3 linked regions of the Ovis aries genome follow. The protein of the gene in region 3 purifies or fractionates together with the protein of the main gene of each other region. This does not show direct contact. Links are inferred from orthologs where the notes say so. Each region holds a gene or a part of one and is shown on either strand. Other genes may lie near its edges.

Region 1 (4,194 bases), on a different chromosome or scaffold from region 3:
ACCCAGCCCCATCTCTTCAGCCAGACCCATCCCCCACTTTGTGGCCTCCTTCTCCCAGATCCCCTTCCTTGACCCTCCCAGGCCCTGTGATACCTGAATTGGGGCCTGTTCCATGTTGATGTGAACATCCACAGCAGAGCCGTCACTCTGAGGAAAGGGTAAGGGAAGTTGCTCTGGGAGAAGCCAAATACTAAGGCCCCCACGCTTCCAACTGATTCTCTGGTGCCCGACCCCTCTAGATTATCAAAGACAGAGGCTGTTACCAGACCAGAGAGCCCACCAAAGCCCTTCTAAAGACTGACACACCTCTCTTATGAACTCTTGGCTGCTACCACAACCAAAACTGACCCCACAAAAACCCTCCCGTGAGGAACACAAGCTTACGGGAAGATTGAAGGTTCCAACCATGACATAGCTGTTGGCATTCCGGTCATGAACAGAGGCCCCAGGCCCCCGAGTACCAGGCGTGGGTCCCCCACCATGGGTGGCTGAGGTGGACCCTGTTCCAGAAGATGCTCCAGAAGGGAGCTGAGTCTGAGGAGGAGCCCGTTCCACAAGGTGAATAACCTTTCCCCCAACATCTGCAGAAAAAAGATACACACCAAAACATTACATGATCAGGGAAACCCTTGGCCTCAGCTCACTGCTCTGGACAGCAGCCTCAAGCTCTGCTCTGCCTCCCCCACCCCCTTACTGTATTCTTGGAGCTTCTTATCATCCTGCAGAACTCGTCCCTGGTAGATAAGCCGTTGTTTCTCAGATGGGATGCTAACAGAAGCAGCAATATGTTCCTTAAACTCCTTTACGTTCATCTGTAGGGAAGAAGAAACATGACGAGGAATCGGGGGTGGAAGAAAAAGGACAGAAGGGGGACAGCTGACTTGTAAGGGGTAAAAACCATCCCATCCTAAAATTACTACCCACCTGTCTTAATTGTGAGGTAATTATTGAGCAAAGCCCTGAACTAGGGCAACACTTGTCAAAATACATACAATAAACGTAACGAACTTCAGGTACAGGCCCAGGAGAAAACTACAGGGCTGAAGACCAGAAACACCAACTGACATTCTCTTCTCTCCCTCTCTGCCTGGCTCCAAAAGGAATGTGTGTGCCTAGAGATACCGGTGACCCCTCCACAAACACAAAATGATACAACACTGTAACCTTAAAGATAAAAGCAATGACAAAGAAGATGCGGTAGAGAATCAGGTTAAGGAAGGCAGACTCAAGCAAGAAGAAAAAGGGGCAAAGTCAGAAAAATATTTTTCCTAACTAGACAACTGACTTGTGAGAAGTATCCAGCTGTTTACAAACACCTAATCACAAAAGCCTACACAGTCTCATTAAATACACGAAACAATGTGTTTAAAACTATGGATCAACCTCCTTACGGTTTTGTCTATTAAGGATCTACCTGCATTATGAGCATTATGGGATCCGACTCCTATCCTTTAAAAACACAGCATAGACCTCATCAGTTTTTAAGACACTCTTCTACTTTAGGTCCTAGTGTTCTGTTTGCCTTCCCAAAGGCAGGAGCCACATCTGTCCCTTTGGGCTGGGGTTCATCTATCATGTTGGCATACAGATTCCTCCTTCTTTCTTTCCCTCTGCATTGAGTTTTATCGAGGTGGAGGAAGGCAAAGAAAATCTACCTCACCCAACAAAAGCCAAAGAGGAAACATCAGAAAATGTTCTGGATACAACATGAACAAAAGAACCAATGAGAGAAAATTTGAAAACCATAATATCAGGCTCTTCTTTCAGTACAAAGAACCTGTAAGAGGAAGAGTTAATGAGTGTCTCCCAGAAGTACTGGGGTCTCACCTGGGCCCCCACAATAAAGGTCCGGGTCTGAGAGTCCAGGGTCTTCACCAGCACCTCCAGGCTGTCAGGATCCTCCATAGTGGTACTGGTACTATCACTGGGCTCCATGGCCGACAGCTCTCTAAGGAAGAATGTTAGGAGGAGGCCCGCTGTCGCCTAGAGCAGATTTTTATATACCCGGAAGCCTCCCCTGCCCGAGACTCCGCCCCATGCCTAAAGAGTTTCTCCCACACAAGCACACACACTCACACCCGCCCCCATCCCCCTTCTGATTCCGGGGCACAGGGAGAGAAACACAAAGGGTAAGAGATCGACGGCACGGGGAGCTGGAGGGCGGCAGGTGGGAGGGGCTCAACGACGCCAATCACAGTAAGGGAGGGCCAGAAGAGCTAGGAAGACGGGAAGGAAGGAAACACGAGACCGGTGTCATCACCGGTCGCGGTAGGACAAGGGCTCGAGAAGTCGGCAAACCCAGGGGACAACCAGAGAGCGAGGGTCGCGCTAGACTCTGCGGAGAAAGTGGTTTCGCGCACGCGCGCCACGCCACGCCCATCGAACCCGCTTAAGTCACTAGAGACCCGAAATGACGAACACTCACGGGGGGCTAGATCGGCGAGCTGTCTCCCTCTTCCACGTACCCTCGGTGTTCTATCAGAAAGGCACAACCAACACACTCCAAACACATACACACACTCCAAACACACACACACACACACATACACACACACCCTACCACCCAGCTCCGCCCCCGACTTCCCCACGGTACCGTCACTTCCGGTCTCCCCCAACCTGCCACCGACGGCCACTTCCGTTTCCCCGATAGTATTTGGGGATCGCGAGGCGGTACTTCCGGCTCCCCCCAGGTCCCCAAGCTTTACTTTTGTGGGGCTTTTCCAGAAAGTCCGCGGCCCCAAATAGTGAGTTCCTGGGGGCGAGACGGGCCGGGGCCGGCCTAGATGGGAGGGAGCCGAGCACCCCGAAGAGCCGCCGCCACCGCCGTCGCCCGGGGGACCGTACTGCGCCTGCGTGCGTCCTACTACGCATGCGTGCACCCTTAGGCACCTCCCCACCACAGCTGGCGCTGTTCAGTTCTCCCCTGCGCGCGCTTAAGCAATAGGGGGGTTGTGGTGGCCGCTATAAATGCCTGATAAAAAACACGAGATGGGACTCTTCCACTGCCTCGAAAGAGGCTTTGAGCCGTTGTGTGGATCTTGGAGTCTGGAGGCTGGGGATTGTGCCTCGCAAATCTATGCTGAAGTCTTGGTCGGCAGAGAATTTGAGGCGGCACTGTCCAGGCCACCTAGAATCCTGTCTTCTCTTACCATCGTCCTCGTTGAGCCACTCCTTCGGCGTCTCCGGAAGTCACCCTTTCCATAGGCGGTTGGAGGTGGTTCTCGAGCTGATTTACGTGCGGTGGCGTCGTTGGGCCTGACCTCGGTTTTGCCCGGTGGGCGTTTTGTGGCGCCATGTTCTTCCCCGGCGGTTGCGGCCGAGGGCACACGCCATGTTTTGGAGAAACCAAGGATTTAGGACCTTTCAGGACTTTTATCTTAAAAAGGACGACTCCGAGTTTGGGAATTGGAAACATGGGGTCAGACTGGAGTGAAACACAAGACTCTGACCCTGGGGGATTGAGAGGGCCGCCTAAGGGCTTCTACAGGTGGAAGGTCCGGTATAGTTACCGTCCCTCTGCCCTCTTCTCCCCCCGCCCCTCGGGCAAGGGCCTGGGCCCCTCAGTGCTGCCACTCCTCCAGCCAGAGCCGTTGCTGCCGGTGTACCTGCCTCCGGTGCCTGTCCTTTCTGGGATTTGTAGCTTCTACTTAAGTCCCGGTACTGAAAGTTTTAATAAGCACATGTATAGTGAGCCCCTAGTTGGTGCCAGCCGGTTTGCTGAGGGTTTCACATACTGTCACATTTAATAGCCTTTCAACATCTATTACATCCCTTTATATAGGTGCATGTAAGTGGCAGAACTGACAAATCAGGCCTACCAGACTCCCTTGGGTCAAGCACTTCTATTTTACTGCCCCAATAGCTTGCATTTTAGTTTTTTGTTAAAAAATATAATGAACCCTCAGCTATTCATCACCCAAATTTTATTCCTTTAGCTAAATCGCAAGCGCAGAGCAAGCCTCACCTCTCAGAACAAATCTTTATGGCAGCCTGTGGGTTATAAATAATCCAGGAAGTACCATCTTCTTGGCAGTACCCAATGATTGCCTCTTGACAATTCTTTGCCTACTTCCTATTACTTGAGAACATAATACCCACGAGAGACTAATAAGTGCTTTACAAACATTGCTATTAATTATAGGGAATATTTACTTTGGATTTATGTGCAGGCCTTTGCTAAGGGCTTCATATGCC
Region 2 (4,105 bases), on a different chromosome or scaffold from region 3:
AGAACACCTCTGAGGTGGAGGAACACAGCAGGATTCCAAATAGATAGCTAACGTGGGCAGACAGGAGGAATCCTTGGTGTATAATTTAGACAGGGAATTTAGATATGAAATAGAGACTTTACCTGACTACTCTTTCTTCCTTTTTCCTTTTCCCCCCAGTTTTAATAACAGTTGAGCTATTTCAAATCCTAAAAGATGATGCTGTTAAAGTGATGCACTCAACATGCCAGCAAATTTGGAAAACTCAGCAGGGGCCACAGGACCGGAAAAAGGTCAGCTTTCATTCCAATCCCAAAGAAAGGCAATGCCAAAGAATGTTCAAACTACCGCGCAATTGCACTCATCTCACACGCTAGTAAAGTAATGCTCAAAATTCTCCAAGCTAGGCTTCAACAGTACATTTACCAAGAACTTTCAGATGTTCAAGCTGGATTTAGGAAAGGCAAAAGGAACCAGAGATCAAATTGCCAACATCTGTTGGATCATAGAAAAAGCAAGAGACTTCCAGAAAAATATCTACTTCTGCTTCACTGACTGCCAAAGCCATTGACTGTGTGAATCCCAACAAACTGTGGAAAATTCTTCAAGAGATAGGAATACCAGACCACCTTATCTGCCTCCCGAAAAATCTGTATGCAGGTCAAGAAGCAACAGAACCAGAAACGGAACAACGGACTGGTTCCAAATTGGGAAAGGAGTATGTCAAGGCTGTATACTGTCACCATGCTTATTCAACTTATATGCAGAGTACATCATGCAAAATACCGGGCTGGATGAAACACAAGCTAGAATCAAGACTGCTCAGAGACATGTCAATAACCTTAGATACACAGATGACACCACCTTTATGGGCGAAAACAAAGAACTGAAGAGCCTCTTGATGAAAGTGAAAGAGAAAAGTGGAAAAAGTTGGCTTAAAACTCAACATTCAAAAAATGAAGATCATGGCATCTGGTCCCATCACTTCATGGCAAATAGATGGGGAAACAATGGAAACAGTGGCAGACTTTATTTTGGGGGGCTCCAAAATCACTGCAGATGGTGACTGCAGCATGAAATTAAAACATGCTTGCTCCTTGGAAGTAAAGCTTTGACCAGCCTAGACAGCATATTAAAAAGTATAGACATTATTTGCCGACGTGTTGTCAAAGCTATGTTTTCTGTTACTAGTGTATGGATATGAGAATCGGACCATAAAGCTGAGCACTGAAGAAATGATGATGCTTTTGAACTGTAGTGTTAAAGACTCCTGAGAGTCCCTTGGACTGCAAGGAGATCAAACCAGTCAATCCTAAAGGAGATCAGTCCTGAATATTCATTGGAAGGACTGATGCTGATGCTGAAACTCCAATACTTTGGCCGCCTTATACGAAGAGCTGACTCACTGGAAAAGACCCTGACGCTGGGAAAGACTGAAGGCAGGAGAAGGGGACGACAGAGGATGAGATGGTTGGATGGCATCACCGACTTGATGGACATGAGTTTGAGCAAGCTCAGGGAGTTGGTGATCGACAGGTAAGCCTGGCGCGCTGCAGTCTATGGGGTTGCAAAGAGTCAACAGCGACTGAGCAACTGAACTGAACTGACATACAACACTGTATTAGTTTCATGTGTACTATGTGACTCCGTATTTGTATATATTGCAAAATGGCTGCCCCAGTAAGTTAACATCCATCACCTCACAGTTAATATTTTTTGTGACTTTTTAAAGATCTACTCTTATCAATTTTGAAATACACAATACAGTATTGTTAACTAATGACCACTCTTCCTAAAGAGGCATCCGAGTCATTTATCACATCATCACTTTATTACATCAATCTAATTTCCTGTACAGCACTTATTACAGCCGAAAAATAACTTATTTTCTCCTTTATTATCGTCTTTCCCCTCGAAATATAAGTTCTCTGAAAGCGTGGCTTATTCTATTCTCCGCTGTTTCCACAGCACCTTGATTGAACAAATCCTTATAAAGCAGTAAACATTTAATAAATTTGACAAGCTAAAGACTCCTGACTTTCGACGGTTTCAGTGGTAGGAAAGGGGCGAATTCGAGGCATCCCCACTTCTCAGTTGAGGATGGGGGAGTTCAAGACCCCAAGCACTACCGAGACTGGAGCACGGAGTTCGAAATTCAAAAGTGCCGCCTCCAGAGAAGAGTTTAAAAAAAAAAAAAAAAAAAGGAATTGGAGTGTACCAACGCGAGACGGGAGGAGGCGCTGGGATGAAGCAGAAGTATACCATTTGGCCCAGAGGCCAGGAGAGGGCCACGAGCTTCCCGGTGGTTAAAACAATGTGTGGGGGCCGGATGCAGCTGCGCCGGCGAGGAATTGCGTGGCCCGCGACTGGAAGCATGCTCCGGACGCGCCACTTCTGGAGGCAGGGGGCAGTGGGCGGGGTAACGTACAGCTCGGCCCGTACCACTCAGGCCGGGACGGGGGTCACGCAAAGAGCGGGCAAGTGACATCTGGGGAAGAGGTTCGAATCAGAGCACCCAAGCGGGAAAAGCGGGTCAGGATCGAACACTTAGAAGGGCAAGGAACCTCCTAGGTTGCAAAGCCTGGGTTGTACTACTCTGCTGCGGACAGGGGGTCCAGGCTGGGACGTGCGCAGGGCCGCAGCCGGGCTTATCTCACCAGAGCCATTGGGTCCAATGATGGCGGTGAACCTCTGAAATGGTCCGATAATCTGCCGACCCTTGTACGATTTAAAGTTCTCGATCTCAATCAGCTTCAGGAACCCCATGACTGCGGCAGCGCCGCCGGCGCTAAGAAAGGCCGCGCCGTTCGCCCGCCAACTGGGATAGCCCGCGCGGGAAACACCGCAGTGCAGGCCGGGCGGACAGCAAACCTCGCGAGAATAAGTCCAGGCCGAACGGGATTTTCGACTTCCGGCGCAGGATGGAACCAAGGGGCGGGGCATTCGGACGGATGTGGCGGTTTTGTTGATCGGTTGCCAAGGCGCGAGGTTACGACTGGCGTTCGGGCCCCGCCCCCTTTTCTTGTTGCATGGCAATTTCAAACCGCCGCTACAGGCGACCTCGTAGTTGAGGAGGCAAGCAGTGCAGTGAGGTGTCTGCAGCTTTGAGGATCCCGGAAAGCTGGCTGACGAGGCCGACCCTTGCTGAGACAAGTCAGAAGTCACAGGAGGGTTATGCCCTCCAGGGCAAGAGTAAGGTGGGAGCTCGGCTGCAGCTTTTGCCTGGCCGGCGGGAAGGTTCAGACAAGAAAAGGGTCGGGAATTGGAAAGACCCCAGGGAGGGGAGGAAGGAGGGGCAAGCAGGAGGATTCCGTGTTAGAGGAGCTCAAATCTTGCTGAGGTTGGAATTGGAGTGGGGTGGAGTTATACATGGGATAGGGTGTTAAGGGGGATGAGGTGTGAATGGAGAAGGGGAACTCTGGAGCCACAGTTTTCCCCAACTGTGGCCAGAGGTACTACCCCTACCCGCCCCCCCCCCGCCCCGCCTCCCTCCTTCTTCTCCAAGCAGAGTTCAGAGACTGCCACTATAGTCTTGGACCTAACCTGGGAGCTTCACAATTGGGACTCCTTGATGAAAAAGGTATTTTGTGTGAACCCCTGGGAGTCAGGGTCCCTAAGCCTGTGCTCTCCACCTCTTATCCTTCTTCCCTTCCCCCTCTTCATCTCTGTCTTTTCATGCCTCACTCCCATCCCATTCCCTCCTCTCCATCCCCCCTCTGCCCAGTCCCTTGCTTCCCTTCCTTTTCTCTGCTCTGTCCTCCACCCCTATCAACCACCCGGTTTTCCTCCTTCCTCTTTTCCCCCTCTGCCCCTGACCTTTCTGTCCCTTTCCCCTGTTTCCCATCTTTTCTATCCCTCTGCTTCATCCCATCATCCCCCCTTACCTTATTACCTGCTCTTTATTAAGCCATAATGTTAGCAGTTCAAGAAGCTGTAGAATCTTCCCCTTCAGTTTGACCTTATATTGTGGTGACAGATGGAATATAAGCAAGCTGGCGTCAGTGCTTAGACTTAGACATGGAAAGGGTCTGGTGGCTGCTACAGCCATTCCTGTAACTATTTTTTAAACGATGTCTGGAGGCTGGGAAGAGTCTTAGGACAAGTCCAGAAAAGTGAGAAAGCCTGG
Region 3 (3,556 bases):
ACTCCACAATGGATAACTGATAACTGAGCTATTATAAATCTCCTCTGGATATGAAGAAACTTTTTAAAAGAAATTATTGTTAAGAAAATGTGGCTTTTTCTTTAAAGCTTTTGAACATTCTTTTTGTTTTCCCATTCTTAACACATGAAGTCAATCATCTGAAACAGAGGAATCTTGAGCGATGACGGTCACAGAGAATAAGCGATTCAGGTTTGACTGCTACTTGTAGTTGTGATAAAAAAAAAAAAAAAAACAGCCAGCAGTAGCTCATCCATCCTTCCCTGCCTTTCATGTCACCTAGAGCTCAGGCTGAGCCCAGAAAAAAAAGGCTGAAGAATATCTGAAAGTAATGAGTTCCAGAGACTTTTAGACCTCCCCTCTTTTTCTGCCATTGTGAGTTCTCTTTCTCCAGCTGCATGAAGTACACAGGCAAGGACTTGACTGTATAAAATCAACTAAGGTGTCAAGTGGAGGCAAAAAAAAAAAAAAAAAAAATGCATGGCCCTGACAAGAAGGATCACAATATAGAAATAGAACATCTCCTGACCATGTCTTAGCAGCTCATTGGAACAAAGCCCAGGAACCCTGAGGTCCCCTTTGAGATGCCCTGAGACCCCTAGTCTCCAGGCAGGAACAGAGTCATCAAGTTCTAAGTCAAATCTTTAACTGTGGAATCAGAATCTATCACAGTGGAGTTTAAATACTGAAGACTGTCATAAGTAGTTTTTGAATTTCTTCATTAATATCATCTTTCCATGTGGCACAAGAGTTCTTGGCTATACCTGCTCAGTAAAAAAGAGAAAAGAAAAGAAAAAAAGGCATTCTCTCCCTTACACATGATACCGATTACAACAAGCCTGTCTTACTGGATAGGCCTCATACAAGCAAGGTCTATGACAACTAGGGTTGTCTAAATCATAATCCCATCTGGCCACACATGAGCAAGCATGCACAGACCTGTACAGCAGCACCCCTCGCCCTTCCCTACTGGCCCCCACCTCTCAAGGCCCCCTTCTCATCCTATTGCCACCACACAAGCACACACACATACACACTTACTTCACACCCGCAGACTTTGCTTGCAGGGCGCTGCTCCAGAAATCATCAACATTTTCTGGTTCAGAAAAGGCCTGCAGGCAGGCACTGAATGGTATCTTGGCACGAACCAACTCAGGAAGGGGTCTTCTGTTTGATTCTGCTTCCCTTCTTGTTAGTTCATAGGCAATCAGTTCATCTGCGTAGAAGGGCAAACAAATGAATCTGCAGTCATTTATTTTCTTGAAAGGAAAGAGCCCCTTGAACAATGAACAGCCTTCCCTGAAGGCTTCTGGGCTGCGGGTAGGACTTCTTCCTTGCTGCCCTCCACAGAGCCAGAGGAGCCTGCTGAAAGTGTGTTTAGAGTGGCAATGCCAGGCTGCATCAAGCCATTCATTTTTTGCCTGTTCCTCTTTGAGGCTGACAGGAGGGAATTGTGAATTACAGTCCAGGTGAGAGGTTCAGACTACACATGTGCTGTAAGCGATGCACGAACCTGGGCTTTCATTTATCCAGAGGTCAAGACTGGTTTGACTCCAAACCACCCTCTAATCACAAAGTCTCCACACCAGAGAATTTCACACTGAGAGAAATCCGAGGGCTCACCTCTTCCTGGCCCTTGACCATGATGAGAGGTCATGGAGAGTGCAGGCCAAGGAGCAGGATGAACTATAAGGAACACAATTACCCAAGGCACCAGACCTGCAATCCTACCCAGCACCGCCAAGAAAACTTCATGCGGGGTTACCTGACACTGCAGAAAGCAGAGCAGCCAACCCAGAAGGCTTTCTACACTATCCCTGCTCAAATGACTGAACACCCAGGGGAAAAAAAGTGAGTACACTGTGAGCTTCCCAAGAGTCAGTAGATCTACTCTTAGAAACCACCTGTAAGTCAAAATTCTATACATTTCAAATGGACCTTTCCAGGAACTCCTCTGTGATACAAAAAACCACTTCTGATTTATCAGTTTTTATATACCACTGATGTATCTTTGTGTTTTCTTAAACACATCTGGATATGCTCTTACAGTTCATTCCCCAGTCCACCATTGGTTTAGGATGGACTTCTGTCTAGGATGCTAGCATTATGTGTTTCCAGCTATCAATTTCCTGACACTAAGTTACAAATCTCCTTTCTGAACAACAACAACAACAACAACAACAAACATAGCTACCTACCACTTATAAATTATAAATTATAAACAGTGAGTTTAGAGAGGATCACAGAACTGAGTAGAATATGTTAGCCAGCATCCACCAAGGTAGTCAAGAGAAAGCAATTAGGCCTCATGCTAAAAAGGAACCAAACCACAGATCCCCACCTCATTTCTACTTTGTGTAATGAATAAGAATTTAAAAATTAGCCAAAAGCTGCAAAAGTTTAGAGAAAATGGAAATTGTTTCATCTTAAAATCATTTTCCAATTAACACAATAAAGTGACTACCCACCACCCCTGCAAAAAGAGAATAAAAAAGCCACCCAAGGAGTGTTTGAACTTTACAAAAATGACTAGTTCACAGGAGATAAGCAATTAAGCAGATATTTCTCCTTTTTCTGCTTCTAAGATGTTAGTTCTAAGAAATATCATTCATCTATTCTGTCTGAAAAGAAGCAGATCAGACTTACTGAAGGAAATTTCCCCTGAGCATCACCCCCTCCACCTGGGTATCTGCCTTCTTCCTGCTTCCAATGTCCAGAGACCTTTCTAAGGGGTGCCTGACAAAGGGCCCAGCCATACTTTATCACCCACAACAGGCACCTTGCTCAGATGCCAAAGATGGATTCTTTTTAAGAGACCTCTGCCTGAATGGCTCACATCAAAAAATGTAGTTCTGACCACTTCCCTCAGACTTTACAGCACAACTTGTAAGTGATAATGTTAAATTACAAATAATTTCCTCCAAATTAAACTGACTCTAAACCAACCTGCTGTTGAAACTTATAGGCACTGAAGTAGGTTTCCTCTATAACCGGCTCCATGAAAATCTCAGAGAAAGCCACATGGGGGCTGAAGAGTAGATGAGAAGAGACAGGCAGAGCAGACACCTTCCAGGTCTACTCCAGACACAGCTCTGCAGTAACTAAACCGCACTGTCTCCCACTCGAGGGTCTTCGCGTGTGAAGAAGCGCTCTGCTCACTTCCCCCTCTGGAACACTACCTTTGTTGGTTGCCGCCTCCATGGCCACGGGTAATTGCATCAGATAGTCCACCCTCTCCGTGTAGCGGACTTTTCGGGTCTGACAGCACTGAATCCGCTCTTCCACCAAAAACCGAAAAACATCACTTGGGTTTTCCGAGCCAATGCGGTTCCTCTGAAAATGAGATTATATCAAGTCAGTAAATTTATATTACTTTCATGGGACACACATGCTATGTCATTTTAGTAATGTCCGACTCTTTGTGACCCCATGGACTGTAGTCCACCAGGCTCCTCTGTCCATGGGATTTCCCAGGCAAGAATAATGAAGTGGGTTGCCATTCCCTTCTCCAGGGGATCTTCCTGACCCAGGGATCGAA

Evidence for each region.
Region 1: the proteins of USP13 (region 3) and BAG6 purify together in Homo sapiens (affinity purification with western blotting; 3 studies listed by BioGRID and IntAct, with this or other methods). This does not show direct contact. The link is inferred for Ovis aries from reciprocal best matches to the Homo sapiens genes USP13 and BAG6.
Region 2: the proteins of USP13 (region 3) and SMC1A purify together in Homo sapiens (affinity purification with mass spectrometry; 5 studies listed by BioGRID and IntAct, with this or other methods). This does not show direct contact. The link is inferred for Ovis aries from reciprocal best matches to the Homo sapiens genes USP13 and SMC1A.

The regions. Positions count from the first base shown.
Region 1 is NC_056073.1:26,726,116-26,730,309, reverse strand, and holds the start of BAG6 (large proline-rich protein BAG6), read right to left. Parts: upstream 2,848-4,194; 5' UTR 2,594-2,847; intron 2,589-2,593; exon of another isoform or gene 2,426-2,588; intron 2,365-2,425; exon of another isoform or gene 2,077-2,364; intron 1,949-2,076; 5' UTR 1,936-1,948; coding exon 1,828-1,935; intron 813-1,827; coding exon 695-812; intron 582-694; coding exon 385-581; intron 148-384; coding exon 94-147; intron 1-93. Other genes in the region: APOM (apolipoprotein M), read left to right, coding at 3,294-3,657. UniProt on the Homo sapiens protein: ATP-independent molecular chaperone preventing the aggregation of misfolded and hydrophobic patches-containing proteins.
Region 2 is NC_056080.1:51,292,188-51,296,292, forward strand, and holds the start of SMC1A (structural maintenance of chromosomes protein 1A), read right to left. Parts: upstream 2,812-4,105; 5' UTR 2,746-2,811; coding exon 2,637-2,745; intron 1-2,636. Other genes in the region: RIBC1 (RIB43A-like with coiled-coils protein 1), read left to right, coding at 3,551-3,559. UniProt on the Homo sapiens protein: Involved in chromosome cohesion during cell cycle and in DNA repair. Central component of cohesin complex. The cohesin complex is required for the cohesion of sister chromatids after DNA replication.
Region 3 is NC_056054.1:208,163,236-208,166,791, forward strand, and holds part of USP13 (ubiquitin carboxyl-terminal hydrolase 13), read right to left. Parts: intron 3,352-3,556; coding exon 3,198-3,351; intron 1,235-3,197; coding exon 1,060-1,234; intron 1-1,059. UniProt on the Homo sapiens protein: Deubiquitinase that mediates deubiquitination of target proteins such as BECN1, MITF, SKP2 and USP10 and is involved in various processes such as autophagy, endoplasmic reticulum-associated degradation (ERAD), cell cycle progression or DNA damage response.